Linked DNA regions of Oryctolagus cuniculus. The protein of the gene in region 2 binds, or shares a complex with, the protein of the main gene of each other region. Links are inferred from orthologs where the notes say so. Each region holds a gene or a part of one and is shown on either strand. Other genes may lie near its edges.

What was found.
Region 1: MED16 (region 2) and MED19 share a complex: the UniProt entries of both Homo sapiens proteins name them as parts of the mediator complex. The link is inferred for Oryctolagus cuniculus from reciprocal best matches to the Homo sapiens genes MED16 and MED19.

Annotation. Positions count from the first base shown.
Region 1 is NC_091432.1:14,444,198-14,451,838, reverse strand, and holds the end of MED19 (mediator of RNA polymerase II transcription subunit 19), read right to left. Parts: intron 4,411-7,641; coding exon 4,154-4,410; intron 4,015-4,153; coding exon 3,918-4,014; intron 3,348-3,917; coding exon 3,253-3,347; intron 3,121-3,252; coding exon 3,052-3,120; 3' UTR 2,740-3,051; downstream 1-2,739. Other genes in the region: palmitoyltransferase ZDHHC5, read left to right, coding at 1-163. UniProt on the Homo sapiens protein: Component of the Mediator complex, a coactivator involved in the regulated transcription of nearly all RNA polymerase II-dependent genes.
Region 2 is NC_091447.1:58,474,988-58,482,591, forward strand, and holds the start of MED16 (mediator of RNA polymerase II transcription subunit 16), read right to left. Parts: upstream 4,071-7,604; 5' UTR 3,914-4,070; intron 2,639-3,913; 5' UTR 2,596-2,638; coding exon 2,463-2,595; intron 1,736-2,462; coding exon 1,628-1,735; intron 1,266-1,627; coding exon 1,096-1,265; intron 311-1,095; coding exon 1-310. Other genes in the region: R3HDM4 (R3H domain-containing protein 4), read right to left, coding at 6,180-6,283, 6,862-6,917, 6,984-7,069, 7,192-7,277, 7,589-7,604. UniProt on the Homo sapiens protein: Component of the Mediator complex, a coactivator involved in the regulated transcription of nearly all RNA polymerase II-dependent genes.

The DNA.
Region 1 (7,641 bases), on a different chromosome or scaffold from region 2:
TGAAGTACAGCTCAAGACCGCCTACAGCAAATCCAATGGGCAACCCAAGAGCATAGGCTCAGCCTCCCCTGGCCCGGGCCAGCCATCTCTCAGTAGCCCCACAAGGGGAGGAGTCAAGAAGGTGTCAGGAGTGGGTGGTACCACCTATGAGATTTCGGTGTGAGCCTTCAGCGCCTCCCCTTCCCACACCTCTGCGCCTACACCAAAGGGCCCCAGGTGGCCACCTTCCTTCCCTCAAGGGGCTCCCCTCCCCTGCACGGACATTTTTTAAAACACTGATTCCAAGAGGATGAGGAGCGTTTTATAAAATGCAAAAGGGTTTGGGAGTCGGAGAGTTGGGGCCCTGAGACTGGGGTAGCAACCCCCCCTTTTACCTTTTAAGACCTTCCTTTCCCCAATCCCTGGACCAGACTCAGTGGACATTTGTGCAATTGCTCGCCCTGGAGGGAACCAGATCATTTTTAAACCAGAAATAATTTTTTTTATTATTGTTACGGATTCTATTTTTTTCCTCTTCTGCGTTACCAGGTGTGTGTGTACATATATATATATATATATTATAAATATCAAAGAAATTATATATCTATCCTGGGATGGGAAAATGAGGGAGGGATATGTATAAGAAGGAGGATCTTACTGTTCCTGTTCCTCAGACCAGCAGGAAAAGAGGGGAGACACCAGAGTCTTCCTTTTCCCCCATGACTCCCTCTCTTATCTGTTACCAACTAAGGAAGTAGTAGTGCCCCAATGTTGGTGCTATGTGATCAGGAAAGAAACCTGGGGAGAGGCGAGTCTGAGTTCTTGGTTAGAAGAGGAAAGGACATTTGCAAAGTTAGTTTTCTAGGCTTATTGGCATTTAGTTTCCCCAGAAAGGGGTCACAGCTCCATGACATTGGTGGTGGTGGTAGGGGGGGGATCAGGGAAAGCATCTGGCCTCATTTGAAACACTATTAGAAAATCCCCCCCCACTTCTTGGGAGAGAGGGATTAGGGTGGCTTTCATAAATGAGCCCCTCAGAGCTTCCCCTAGCCTACAGTTAAGGTGATTTTAAAGTCCAAGGACAGGAGAGAAGAATCCAAAAAGCAATATTTTTCATCACATGCCAAAAATGGGATAGAGAGGAGTGGCAGGCCTAGGTCCCTCCGGTTGTCCCTTGGGGGTTACCCCTCAGCCCAACTTAGTATGGTGCTGGGAAGAGGGGATACCTGGGTTCTAATCTCTAAATAGGGAAGACCCCAGCCTCTGCACAGAGGCCCTTTTATTTTTTATTCTGATTAGCCATTTTAAACCGACAAAGAATAAAAAGAAATCCTGATCTAACGGCTCCCCCGACTTGTGTTATTGTGTCTGGTGACGCAAGGTGGGAAGTCATCACAAAGAACACCTCACAGACTTCTCTGATCCTGGCCTATCTTAGGCAGGACATAGTGAAATTACTTAAAGCGACAAGTCCTGTTTTAATTTGGGTGATTTAAAAATTCACACGGCTTCATGTTGCTCCTTAACATAAGGATTTTGTCTGCAAAGAAAAATCAAGATACGGAAGCCTGGTAAAAGCAGGTTGACTGGAAATTGAATTAGGTCATCTTATACCCTGTCAAAGGGGAAAGGCTCTGTGCTCATTTTATTTTTTTAAAGATTTATTTATTTGAAAGGCAGAATTAACAGGCAGAGAGGTCTTCCACCGCTGGTTCATTACCCAGATGGCCGTAATGGCTGGAGCTATGCTGATCCGAAGCCAGGGGCCAGCAGTTTCTTCTGGGTCTCCCACATGGGTGCAGGGGCCCAGGGACTTGGGCCATCTTCCACTGCTTTCCCAGGCCATAGCAGAGAGCTGGATCAGAAGTGGAGCTGCCGGGACATGAACCGGTGCCCGTATGGGATGCCAATACTGCAGGCAGTGGCTTCACCCACTACGCCACAGCGCCAGCTCCTCTGCTTTCATTTTAGATAGGCATCCTCAGACACTAATTCTCAGCAGACTGGCTAGAACCCGTTATCTTTACCATCTGCAGCTTAAGCATACAAACTCTTACTCTGAAATCCCGGAGTAAAACAAGCTGAGTGAGTGGTTTTCCATCTACTGACCTAGAACAACCTTGGTTCATGGCAATAGATTTTAACTATTCTGTGTTAAATTTAGTTTAAAGCTAGATTATAGTAGTTTGGGTTTCAGTTACCAACCATACTGCAGAAAAGTAAACTGCTTTCTTTTACACTTTGATAGTCTAGGCTGCCCTTTTTGCTGTCTTGGGAGCTTATCAGCCAAACTGTGTTATCTAAGGAATGAGGCAGGCCAAAGGATTTTATAAAGATAAAAGAAACATTTACCTTTGCTTGCCAGAGGTTCATTTCAAAACATTATAGTTTTCTGACCAAAGAGTCAATCTGGTTGAAGTATACTAAAGAAGATGGTGATTGTAGGTGCTTTTTCAGTTGACTATTCTGTTTCAACCCAAACTTGACCTAGAATCTGTTGAGGTTTAAATGGATCAGCTCTTCAGAGTGGAGCCTGAAGACCATCCAGGCACTTTGTTCCTGACATTATGGGGAGAGTATAATGAAGCTGTGCCTCTTTTGGACCATGTTTCTCAGTCATTTTGGTTGTTTCCCTGCCTGCCAATGAGATAATGCAAGGACGACTCAAATCCCCTTAAAGCTTAGGAATGACTTGTCTTAACCACTGACTTCCATAGAAAGGCACTTACCTCCCTTAACAGACAGCCACACTTGAGCCAGTTTGATAAATGCAGGTATTTTTTTTTTTAAAGAAAAACTTAACAGGTCAAGTTCTGATATTAAACAAATTGCACAAAACAGAAGAAATAGCTTCCTGGGAGAGGAAGAGATGTCCATGAGAAAGCCAACTAGGCTGAGCCTTATAAAAGGATGGCCCTTCCCTCTTCTAATGTATTCATCGCAACCAAGCAGAGCAGGAGTTGGCCTCTGCCTTGGCTGCTGGGTATTCCCAAGGCATTGGCCAAGAGCCGGGAAGGCAGCTTCTGTTAGAAGTTCAGTAGGAAAAGCCATCCTGGTAGAGTCCAGTGGTTGTCAGCGAAGGCTGCTGCTGCTGCTGGCCTGAGAGCTGCCCATACCCGGGTGGTCTGGACTGTGTCGGCTCTGGAGAAGATAAAGGAGGAGGGTAAGAACAACTAGCAACTTGCCCTGAGTTTTCACTCTTGGGTCCAGTTTGAGGCAAAGGACAGGGTGAGATATGGGGAAAAGGGCTGCAGCAACAGGCTCTACCCCTACCTTCTTTTTCTTCTTCTCTTTCTTCTTCCTTTTCCGGTCAGGATCCTCTTCTTTTTTCTTTTTCTTCTTCTTATGATCCGAATCAGATGGTGTTTCTGTAGGAAGCATTAGGGCCTGTTACCTATAATGCTCAAAATTCTCTACTTTGTGAATTTGGAAGACTACAGGACACCAAATTGGGCAAATTTTTTTTTTCTTTTTAGATTTTTAAAAGTTTATTGAAAGGCAAAGTTAGAGAGAAACAGCTCTTCCATCTGCTAGTTCACTCCCCAAACAGCCACAATGGCCAGGACTGGGCCAGGGCAAAGCCAGCCCAGAGTGTCTTCCGGGTCTCCCACACGAGTGCAGAGGCCCAAGGACTTGGCCATCTTCCACGGCCTTCCCAGATGCACTAGCAGGGAGCTGGATAGGTAGTGGAGGAGCCAGGTCTCAGCCCAGTGCCCATATGGGGTGCTGGCATCACAGGCAGGTGCCCAACTGTGTTTCTCTAAATGGCTCTGCTGCCAGAACCCCTGTCCTAAGTCCCTACTTGCCAAAGAGATCAAAGTACATTGTGGAAACTTGGGCATCCAGGGCTGTGTGAGGAATTCACTGGGTTCAACTGTGCAAAGTTGCACCAAATTCAGAAGGTCAGGTTTTCTTGTTTTAACAGGGCTGCTGCTTACCTGGGGGGACAGGATCCTGGGTCCGACTCTGTTTGTGCTTGTGCTTCTTGTTCTTCTTGGGAGGCTGAATATGCATCAGGCGACACTGTTCTGGCAACTGAAGGAAGCAAAGGAAGGTCTGGGTGAGTGGAGAAGGAAATCCTTTGCTCAGTAAGGTACAAGGGAGCAGATGTGGAGAGAGAAAACTCCCTGCCCTCGGCTTCCCCATTTGCTGCCTCTCTCAAGAGGGCACTCACCGGGCCGGTGTGGAGGCGGAAGCCAGCCAGCATGGTCCCTGTGATGGGATTGAAAGAGCCACCAAGAATAGGGGGCTTCTCGATAAGGGAGCGGAGGCTGCTGTTGTCGTGAGAGCCGGGAAGATCGATCATCCCCGGCAGGTCGGGCAGGAAGTTGCTTAGCTTCTCCTTCACCTTCTTGCCACAGAATTTGTTATAGGCTTGTTCCAGGTTGTAGTGTGTGATGAGATTGGTGCTGCCTGTCAGCTCCGTGCTGCCTAGAGAACACAGAGAAACATTAGTCCTAAAAGAGGAGTTTACAGTCACTGACCCAGAAGAAAAGTAAAGGACTATACGAACTGTGACCCAAATAAGGATGCTTTTAAGTGAGAATCATGAAATGTTGAGCTTATATTTTTTTCTCAACCAGAAGAACTGCTGATTTCATTTCCAGACTGCACTTCCCTCAAGAACAACCATTCTCATGATTTTTACCACTTTTCCCAGTTTTGACTTTGACAGAAAAAGCTTATGTTTAAGAAACAGCAAAAGTAAACAGTAACATATAAACACTAGAAGTGCAGTACTACAGAACAACAGGCACGGGAAGGAGAAAGGGCAGAAACCTAAACAGGGCAGACATGGAGGCATTCTGCTCTTCTTGGATGAGCCAGAATGATAATTTACATGGCCTGCATGCTCAACACTGTTCTCTGCTTTTCATAAAGTGTAAGTGAGAAATACTCTCTGATGTTGTGACCAGGAGAGGCCCTCACAGGTCAGCTGGGACCACAGCAAGGGCCATCTGACTCTCTGACTCAGGGGATTGAGGGTCTTTGTCAAGAACTTTGCTTTTCTTTTTTTTTTTTTTTTGGACAGGCAGTTAGTGAGAGAGAGAGAGAGAGAGACAAAGGTCTTCCTTTCCCATTGGTTCACCCCCCCAAATGGCTGCTACGGCCAGCATGCTGCGCTGATTTGAAGCCCAGAGCCAGGTGCTTCCTCTGGGTCTCCCATGTGGGTGCAGGGCCCAAGCACTTGGGCCATCCTCCACTGCCCTCCCAGGCCACAGCAGAGAGCTGGACTGGAAGAGGAGCAACCAGGACTAGAATCCGGTGCCCCAACTGGGACTAGAACCCTGTGCGCCGGCGCCGCAGGCGGAGGATTAGCCAAGTGAGCAGTGGCGCTGGCCTTTTTTTTTTTTTTTTTTAAAGATTTATTTTGGGGTCACCGCCTGCAGTGCCATCATCCCATATCGGCACTGGTTCGAGTCCCAGCTGCTCCACTTCCAATCCAGTGCTTTTCTAGGGCCTGGGAAAGCAGTGGAAGATGGCTCAAATCCTTGGGCCCCTGCACTTGTGTGGTAGACCTGGAAGCTCCTGGCTCCTGATCAGCGGAGCTCTGACTGTTGCAGGCACTTGGGGAGTGAGCCAGTAGATGATGGAAGACCTCTCTCTCTCTCTCTGCCTCTCCTTCGCTCTTTGTGTAACTCTTTAAAATCTTATTTGAAAAGATGGAATTGCAGAGAGAGGTCTTCCTTCAGCTGATTCACTCCCTAAATGGCCGCAATGGCAGGAGTTGAGCTGATCCAAAGCCAGGAGCTTCCACTGGTTCTCCCACATGGGGCAGGGGCCCAAGGAGCTGGGCCATTTCCCACTGCTTTCCCAGGCCATGGCAGAGAGCTGGATCAGAAGTGGAACAGCCAAGACTTGAACGGGCACCCTTATGGGATGCCAGCACTGCAGGTGGTAGCTTTACCCACTATGCCACAGTGTCAGCCCCTGTTTTTTCTCTTTAACAATCAAAAAACACTCATCATAGTTATATAGAAAAACAGCAAGGAGATTTTTCTAGCTACTGTTGCTTAACTTTGGTTACCAACATCTTTATTCTCCCTAATGTTACTGAGTATAATGCTTTGCAGACAAAGAAGAAATCTGTAGTTAGAAATTGGCTGGACAACTAGAATTCTAGTGCTGTTCTCCATGCCTTAGTTTCTTGTTATCTGTGGAATGCAATAATAGCTATCTTAAGTAAACTTCATTTTTTTTTCAAGATTTAAATGAAAACATACTGAAAAGTATAAATAATCTAAATTTATGGTAAGGGTGAAAATATCTAACCCACAACTTCATCTGTAATTATGATGGACACCCAGGGTACCATGAGCAAAATGATAACTGGGAAAACTCGGGCTCTGAACTGTGGGCTTCTTGAAGGCAGACAACGCTCTGTTCACGTGTTGCTAGTGCTCAGTATTAAGGTGCTTTTCCTGACTGCCCCTAGGCCTTACTGCATCCGTTTCTTTCCCGGCACTGCCAGATGTGTCAGAAGAGTAGTCTGTAACAGCAGCAGCTCTGTAACTGGCACTGCTGCTTGCTACTGCTTTCTGATGTTCCCTCCTCTCTGCCAGTTATCTTCCTCCCAGGTGGTTTTGCTGAAGGTCAGGGAGAAGGTACTGTGCTTTTTCTAAACTCTAACTTCCTGTTTTTGACTATTGCTTTGTAGTTAATTTATAAATCTTTCTCCCCAGCTCTGACTCCTCTCCTGAATGAACCTTCTTTGCAGTAAATTTCATGCAGATTCAATTTTTTTTAATTCAAATTCTTGCCCATGTCACTTATGGCTTCTTCATTTCAATCATGGCACCGCCATTCTTGAGATGTTTTAGAAAGCAGGACTTCTGAGTTCAAAAACCTTCAGGTTTCCTGTTACTCTCGGGAGAAAGCACCCGTTCCTCAGGCATCCAGGGTTATTCACATCTGACTGCATCCAACTTAGCTCTGGGCTTCATCAGCCACTACTTCCCCAAAGGTAAAATTTCTTTCTTTTTGGTAAAATTTCTGATCCATTCAAATGAGTCTCCACACTTATGAGAAAAAAAAATAGGCATTCCCTCTTATATTGTTTCCTTTTAGGAAAAATCTGTTGTTTTTTTTTTTTTTTCCCCAACCAATGTGAATTCTTCACAGTCCAGCTCAAGTGACATCTAATTTCTTGCTGTCATCATGGATACACCACATTTTGAAAACCATCAAGGAGTTAATGCTGTTCACTAAGATACTGTTAGCTGTGCAGTATTTAAGGCATGACTGCAAAGTAATGAGACTGGTATCGATGAGAAACAGTCACTTGTTTATCCACAAACCACATACTGTGCTTCCCTAACTAACTAAAATAGTCTTCTTATAAACCAAGGACCAAGGGTGGGCATTTGCAGCAGTCGTCACGACACTGCTTGGGATGCCCGTATCCCATACTAGAGTGGCTGGGTTCCGTGCCGGCTCCTTTGCTTCTGCTCCAACCTCCAGCTAGGATGCAGGCTGCCAGGCAGCAGATGACGGCAAGGACTCGATTCCTGCCAGCCACAAAGGAGACCTGGATCAAGTTCCCAACTCCTGGCTTTGGCCTGGCCCAGCCCTGGCTGTTGGGGGCATTTGGGGAGTGAACCAGCAGATGGAATGTCTCTCTGCGTCTCTCCCTGGCTTTCAAATAAAGTAAAAATTAGGAAG
Region 2 (7,604 bases):
ACTTCTCGCTGACCACGCCCACGCACACCTTGTAGAACTGCACGGGGGACGCGCTGCTGCCGTCGGCCGCCGCCACCACGATGTTGCCGCCGCCCGTGAAGGCGATGTCGGCCAGGGCCACGCGGCCGCGCAGGCGGCACAGGCTCTCGGTGGACGTGAGCACCTGCCCGCTGGGCTTGAGCAGGGACACGGTGACCAGGCCGCTGACCGTCACGGCGATCCAGCCCTCCATGGGCTTGCCGCCGAACAGCGTGAGCGACGGCGAGAACTTGACGCGGGAGAACTTCTCGCCGAAGCTGGAGGCGCCCGACTGCGGGAGAGGCGGAGGGGCCGGGCTGCCGTGCGCGCCGCACCGGGACCACCGGAGCCCCGCCCCCGCCCCACCGGAGCCCTGCCCGCGGACCACCGGAGCCCCGCCCCTGCCCGCACACCCGGACCACCGGAGCCCCGCCCCCGCCCCACCGGAGCCCCGCCCGCGGACCACCGGAGCCCTGCCCCTGCCCGAGCACCCGGACCACCGGAGCCCCGCCCCTGCCCGCGCACCCAGACCACCGGAGCCCCGCCCTCGCTGACCCCGCCTTGCCTGTGCGGGAGCCCGGGACACGCCTACCGCGGAAGCCCACGGACAGGGCTGAGGGGGGACACGCGTGTGCCGGACAGGGCTGAGGGGGGACACGCGTGCACCGGACAGGGCTGAGGGGGGACACGCGTGTGCCTCTCAGGCCCAGCCACATCGTGGGGGGCTGCTGCCGCTCCAGTGCCACATCAGGCCTTCAGATTAACATCACGCCCACGCCCGGAGAGACGCGGGAGCCCCGGCCCCTCCCCCAGACCCCCGGCTGCCCCGGCCCCTCCCCCAGGCCCCTCCCCCAGACCCCCGGCTGCACCCGACCCCAGTCGCTGAGCCGCCTGCAGCCTGTGCTGGACTCCACCCGTGGCCGTGGGCGCCGGCTCACACCACGTGGCCGTCCACCCGTGGCAGGCGCAGCACAGCCCCTGAGTGGCAGGGAATTCTGGGATACCAGTGGCTCAGCGTGAGGGCCGGGTCCTGGGGACGGCGGCCTGGGTGCTGGGGCGGGCGCGGGCAGCACCCACCTTCTCCACGTGCAGGGCCAGCTTCACGCCGTTGTGCAGCCAGGACAGGGCCACGATCGGGTCCCCCTCCACCGAGCTGCCCACCAGGCTCTCCCAGCTGTTGGCCAGGTGCTCAGCCATGCTCCAGCACTTGACCTGCCCGTCGGCGTCGGCCGACAGGAGCCGGGAGCCTGCGGGGACAACGTCGCGGGACGTGGGGGCCAGGGCAGAGGCCCGGGGACCCGGCCAGGCGGGACCGGCGCCCGCCGCAGCGCCGGCTCTGGGCTCTGGCGCGGGCAGCAGAGGCCCGGCGGGGGCTCTGGGACAGAGGCTGGGGAGGGCGCCACCCTGTGGGGGCCCCGGGGAAGCGCCTGGCTCCCGGCTCTGGACTGGACTGGTCTGGCCCTGGCCAGAGTGGATCAGGGACGGGAGACCACCCCCCCTCGCTCTCCACCCCCCCCCTCCCTGTCTCCCTCTCCCCCTCCCTCCCTCCCTCTCCCCCTCCCTCCGTAACTCCGCCCCTCGGGCAGCCAGGCCCCGCCCCCGCCCTCACCTGACTGGTCCCACTCCAGGCAGGTGATGGCCTCGGTGTGGCCGGAGCTGATGGAGTGCACGTCCCACGGGTGCTCCGTGTCCAGGATGTGGATGGTGCGGGTCAGGTCTGGGGGCACAAGGACACAGTCCCGAGGGGTCCCGTGACCCCCAGGCGGCTCCGTGGAGGACCCCCAGGGCGATGGTGAGGGACAGGCTGCCCCCTGGCGGGCAGAGCGGCCAGTGACCGGGCGATGGGAAGATGGAGTGAGAGGGGCCGACGCCCGGGCAGCAGCGCCCGCGGTCCCCGAGCACGCGTCACCCGGCAGCAGGGCAGACGGCACGGCCACTGACGCAGAGCAGGGGCCGGGACGGGGCCTGGGCCAGCAAGACCCCAGCCCCACGTGGAGCCGGACCCCAGCGTCGGGGAGGCCGGGGCTCTGGACGCCCCAAGTTCCAGAGGAGGTGAGGGGCGGAGCCGGGCGGGGACACGGGGGGCGGGGCCAGGTGGGGCAGGATGGGGGACACGGGGGGCGGGGCCAGGTGGGGCAGGATGGGGGACACGGGGGGCGGGGCCAGGTGGGGCAGGACGGGGACACGGGGGGCGGGGCCAGGTGGGGCAGGACGGGGACACGGGGGGCGGGGCCAGGTGGGGGCCGGGCGGGGACACGGGGGCGGGGACAGGTGGGGGCCGGGCGGGGACACGGGGGGCGGGGACAGGTGGGGGCCGGGCGGGGACACGGGGGGCGGGGCCAGGTGGGGTCATGGGGGGCGGGGCCAGGTGGGAGCAGGACGGGGACACGGGGGGCGGGGACAGGTGGGGGACATGCGGGGAGAGAGGGCAGTGGGGGGCGCACCCTGGTCCTCGTTCCGCACGTCTGTGGTGAAGGCGATGAGGTTGCGGCAGGACCAGGCGCAGGCCAGGGGCACCGAGGGGCAGTGCGTGGTCTTGGGCCATTTCTCCCACTCACAGACGTAGGCCAGGTCCATCCCGCCGCAGGCCCGGGGGGCTCGTCACTGACACGGCCCAGTGCTGGGGGGGGGCATAGGGGGGCTTAAACACACGAGGCCACGCCCGTCCTCCGCGACGCTGGCGTCCACACGGGGACTCCAGGAGGGGCCGGGCGGCTGGGGCGCGGGCCAGCACCCCCAGGTCTCCACAGGACCCCGCAGATGTGCTTGGTCCGGGGAGCGAGGATGGGGCGGCAGGGGGCGCCCAGGGCCGCGCGGTCCCCCAGGCTGGGCCCGGGCCTGCGGAGGGCCCAGAGTGACCACAGCGGCGAGCGCCGGCGCCCCTGGCGGCTCCAAAGAGAAGGGGCTCCATCGACGTGGGCCCACCCCTCCGCCCCAGGCACCCCGGGAGCCCACGCCCACCCTAGCCCACCCCACCCCGACCCCCCAGCTCCGCCCCAGGCACCCGCGAGCCCACCCCACCCCGACCCCCCAGCTCCGCCCCAGGCACCCGCGAGCCCACCCCACCCCGACCCCTCAGCTCCGCCCCGGCACCCCGCGAGCCCACGCCCCGGCACCCCGCGAGCCCACCCCACCCCGACCCCCCAGCTCCGCCCCAGGCACCCCGCGAGCCCACGCCCACCCCACCCCGACCCCCCAGCTCCGCCCCAGGCACCCCGCGAGCCCACGCCCACCCCAACCCCCCAGCTCCGCCCCAGGCACCCCGCGAGCCCACCCCACCCCGACCCCCCAGCTCCGCCCCAGGCACCCCGCGAGCCCACGCCCACCCCACCCCGACCCCCCAGCTCCGCCCCAGGCACCCCGCGAGCCCACGCCCACCCCGACCCCTCAGCTCCGCCCCGGGCACCCCGCGAGCCCACGCCCACCCCGACCCCTCAGCTCCGCCCCAGGCACCCCGCGAGCCCACGCCCACCCCGACCCCTCAGCTCCGCCCCGGCACCCCGCGAGCCCACGCCGCGACCGTCCCGACATCCAGCCCCAGGGTCTCAGGCCCAACCCCAGGGACCCCCCCCCCGTCTGCGGGCCCCGCCCCCGAGCCAGGCAGCCCCGCCCCCGAGCCAGGCAGCCCCGCCCCCAGCTCGCCTCAGGCTCCGCCCCCGGTCCCGCCGCCCCGCTTCGGCCGCGGACTTCGCCTCAATTTCCGCGCAGCGCCCGGGCTCCCCCACGTCGCGCCGGGCCGCGCGCCCAGAAGCCTTTGCGCTCGGGCCCGCCCCCTGACCCCGGAGGCCCCGCCCCTGCCTTCCCCGCGCCGCTGTCCCCGGGGTCGCGGACGTCGTCCCGAGGCCGGCTGGCCGCCGCCGCCGCCGCCGGGCCCTCCCACGAGCCCCGCGCTCACCTGGCTGGCCCGAGCGTGGAGCCGAGGGCACGGCTGCGGCCCGCACTCGCCCTAACGCCGCGGCTCCGGCGCCGCCATCTTCCCGGACCAACGAGTCGCCCAAGCCGCGCCGCCGCTTCCCGCAGGCTCATGGGACGGCGGCGGCTCCGGCTCCGCCCAGCTTCCGGGCTTATTTGCATAGTCCTATTAGGTTCCCGGCAGCCTCCGTTCGTGTGTCTCATATAAAACAGAAATATTTCCCTAACGTCGATTAAAAACTACACCTCATTAGAACATATACTGTCCTAACACAGTAAAGAGCACGAGTGCCCCACAAAGTTGTCGCAAGAAAATTCACCCTTATCGTAAAGACAAGATTTCTCGGCACCTTAAATACTTGTCCAGGATAGCGGTCGTTCGTGCTCGCTTCGGCAGCACATATACTAAAATTGGAACGATACAGAGAAGATTAGCATGGCCCCTGCGCAAGGATGACACGCAAATTCGTGAAGCGTTCCATATTTTGCTACCCCTTTCCACGAACAGCGTGCAGGAGGAGCCGGCCCGGTCCGCGTGGAGCCGCAGCCGTCGCGCGTGAATGCCCACGCAGGGTGTGCGTGACTGGGCGGTGAGCGCGGGGTCCCGGGGGTCTACGCCGTCCGCTCTGCAGCCCACGCCCTGCTCCTGCCCTCTGGCACACACCGGAGCAGGTGAGAAGGCGGCCCGCGACCAAAGGGCACTGAACCCACAGCATAGCAGACGCACCCCGGGACACGGAGCTCCCGCGGTGCAGCGCCACGGCTCACAGGTGGGCCCGGCGGGGCCACGGTCGCCGCAGCTCTGCCCGCAGCAGCGCTGTGACTTTGTTTCCCTTACCTATTTGATAGGCAGGGGCCGTGGGGAGGGGGAGAGGGGGAGAGGGGGACAGATCTCCCATCGGCTGGTTCACTCCGGGGCTGGGCCAAGCAGGAGCCCCGGGTTCCCCACGTGGGTGCAGGGCCCCCAGCACTCGAGCGGGCACTGCCGCCTCCCAGGTGTGCATAGCAGGGAGCGAGGTCAGGAGCTTTACCCTGGGGCTCAGCTGCTGGGCTACGCCTGGGTCCAGCAGGCCCTCTGCCGTGGCTGAGAACTGGGCAGGGGGCTTCACGGACGGTCCCTGGAGGTCTGAGTGGCCACCCCGGGCACCCCGGCTGCTCCCCTTCCAGCCCAGCTCCCTGCTAACGGCCCGGGAAGGCGGCAGTGACGGAGAGGTGCCAGGGCCCCTGCACGCACGGGGGAGACCTGGGTGGCGCTCCCGGCTCCTGGCTTCAGCCTGGGCCAGCCCTGGCCGTCACTGTTCTTAGATGAAGATCCCCCCGCCCCGCCCCGTGTAACTGTGCCTTTCATGTAAAATGATAATAAATATACAACTTTCAGACGAGGAAGGAGCCAAAGCCAGCCCTGCAGTGAGGCCGCCGGGGGTGTCTGTGGCCACCTGCAGTCACTCCAGCCGCTGATGCCCCGTCCACGGGAACCCGGGCAGCTGAGAGGGGCTGGGCCGGGGGGGGGGGGTCCCAGCCCCCCCCCAAAGAAGCATCTGCACAGCCCAAGGCCAGAGCACCAGAAATTTATTAAACCCTTCCCATTCCCCAAAGCACAAGCCACACGCGGGGGACAGGGGTGCAGGCCAGCTCCACGCAGGGGGCGGGGCCAGGCAGGGGGCGGGGGACACCGAGGGCAGCGGCTTCTGGCCGGAAGTCCTGGACCTCAGTGAGGGGGCAGCGGGGTGGAGAGCAGGGGGGCCCGCGGTGGGGACACACACACACACACACACACACACACACACGGAGGACAAAATGCATAAAACCGGCCCGCAGGACAAAGCCTCTGTCCTGGGTCACGGGGCACACGCATGGACACGCGTGTGCGCACACACGCACGACAAACTGCTCATGGGGCAAGGGGCCAGGTCCTGGGGATGCGCCCCACCCCCAGCCAAGTGAGAGGCAGGGACGGCCAAGCCAGGGCTGGGGCAGGGGTGCGGCTTTCCCCACCCACAGGGAAATTTAAAACCCTACAGCACATCACGACAAATGCATTAAAGGGATAAAACTCAGCCTCCCTCCCCTGGTAGGGCTTCCGACAGGGCCAGAGAAAACTGAAAGAAGTGGAGGTGCCCAGGCCCGGCCTCCTCGCCCAAATACAAGTCCCAGGGCAGGAGCGGCGGGGCGGGGCGGGGCAGGGCAGGAGGGGCAGGCGTCCAGGACAGAATCTAAAAACAGGGCGAGGCGGTCTCGGAGGGCCGCCATCAGCTGTGCTGCTCCAGGTAGGCAGACAGGAGCAGCCCCGGGGGCAGGAAGTCCAGGTGCCGGTTGCTCACTCTCATCTGCCGCCTGCCCTCCAGGTCGGCACCTGTGGAGGAGCAGAGGGGCTCGCGGGTGGCCGCTGCACGGGCCGCTGCAGCCCGGAGCCTGGCCACGAGTGTCCGGCCGCCTTCGCCTATGAACCAGGAGGGACCCCCGCCGCAGCAGCCCAGCCCCCCCACCCGCCCCAGCTCAGTGCCAGAGTCCCCCCCTCCCCCGCCCAGGCCACAGCTCGGAGCCCGCAGAGAAGCCCCCCAAACTCGGGGAACAAAGGCAGGCGGGGCTCCCGCAGACAGGGGAGGAGCCGGCCCGGGGTTGCCGTGGAAACCGTCTCCACGGCAACCGCGGGCGAGAGGCAGGTGTGGGCAGCAGGACCAGCCGGGCACCTGGGGCCAGCCCCCTGCGTGAGATAAGGACCCAGGCCCTCGGGAGGGGGCGCCTGCGCATCTGGGAGCCGCCACACACACACACCCCCCCCGGGGGCCGCTAAGGCCCGGCTCCATCTCCCGCAGCGCCGGCGCGCGGGGCGCTTGTGTCCGCAGCGGCACCGCGCAGCGCCAGGCTCCCCGGGAGCTCCGAGGTCCTGCGTGCCCTGCCCGCCCCCGGCCGGTCGGGGGGGCCACTTACTGGCCGAGATGAGGTCCATGTACTGGCAGACGGCGTGCAGCAGCAGCCTCTCGAAGCTGTGGAGGAGGCCGCGTGAGGGCCGAGGCCAGGCGCGCAGGGCAGCCCCAGCGCCCCCCCCTCACCTGTCGTCCAGCATGGCCGTGTACACCGCCTGCGGCGACACTGAGAAGAACCGCAGCAGCCGCTCCTCCCAGGCCTCCAGCGTCTCCTGCAGACGGCACGGGGGTCAGCCCTGGCCCGGCTCACGCTGACCCTCCCCTCCCGGGGGGGGCCGCCCCCGGCCGCCCGGGCACCAGCACCGCGCAGGTGCAGGAGAGGCCGCGCACTCACCATCGGGATGCGCCTCCGCTTGAGCACCGCACGCAGGCGCCGGCTGATGCGCTGGAAGCACTCGCGGGCAGTGTAGGCCGGGTCCTCTGCAACACGCCAGGGCGCGGCGGCCATGACGCAGCCCCCCACGCCAGCCTGGCCCGCCCACGCACAAACAGGCCCCGCCCACGCCGCACCCAACAGGCCCCGCCCACGCACAAACAGGCCCCGCCCACGCCCAGGCCGCACCCACGCACAAACAGGCCCCGCCCACGCCGCACCCACACACAAACAGGCCCCGCCCACGCACAAACAGGCCCCGCCCACACACAAACAGGCCCCGCCCACACACAAACAGGCCCCGCCCACGCCCAGGCCGCGCCCACGCCCAGGCCGCGCCCACAGGAACCCGGCGCACCTCTCCGCCGGTCCTC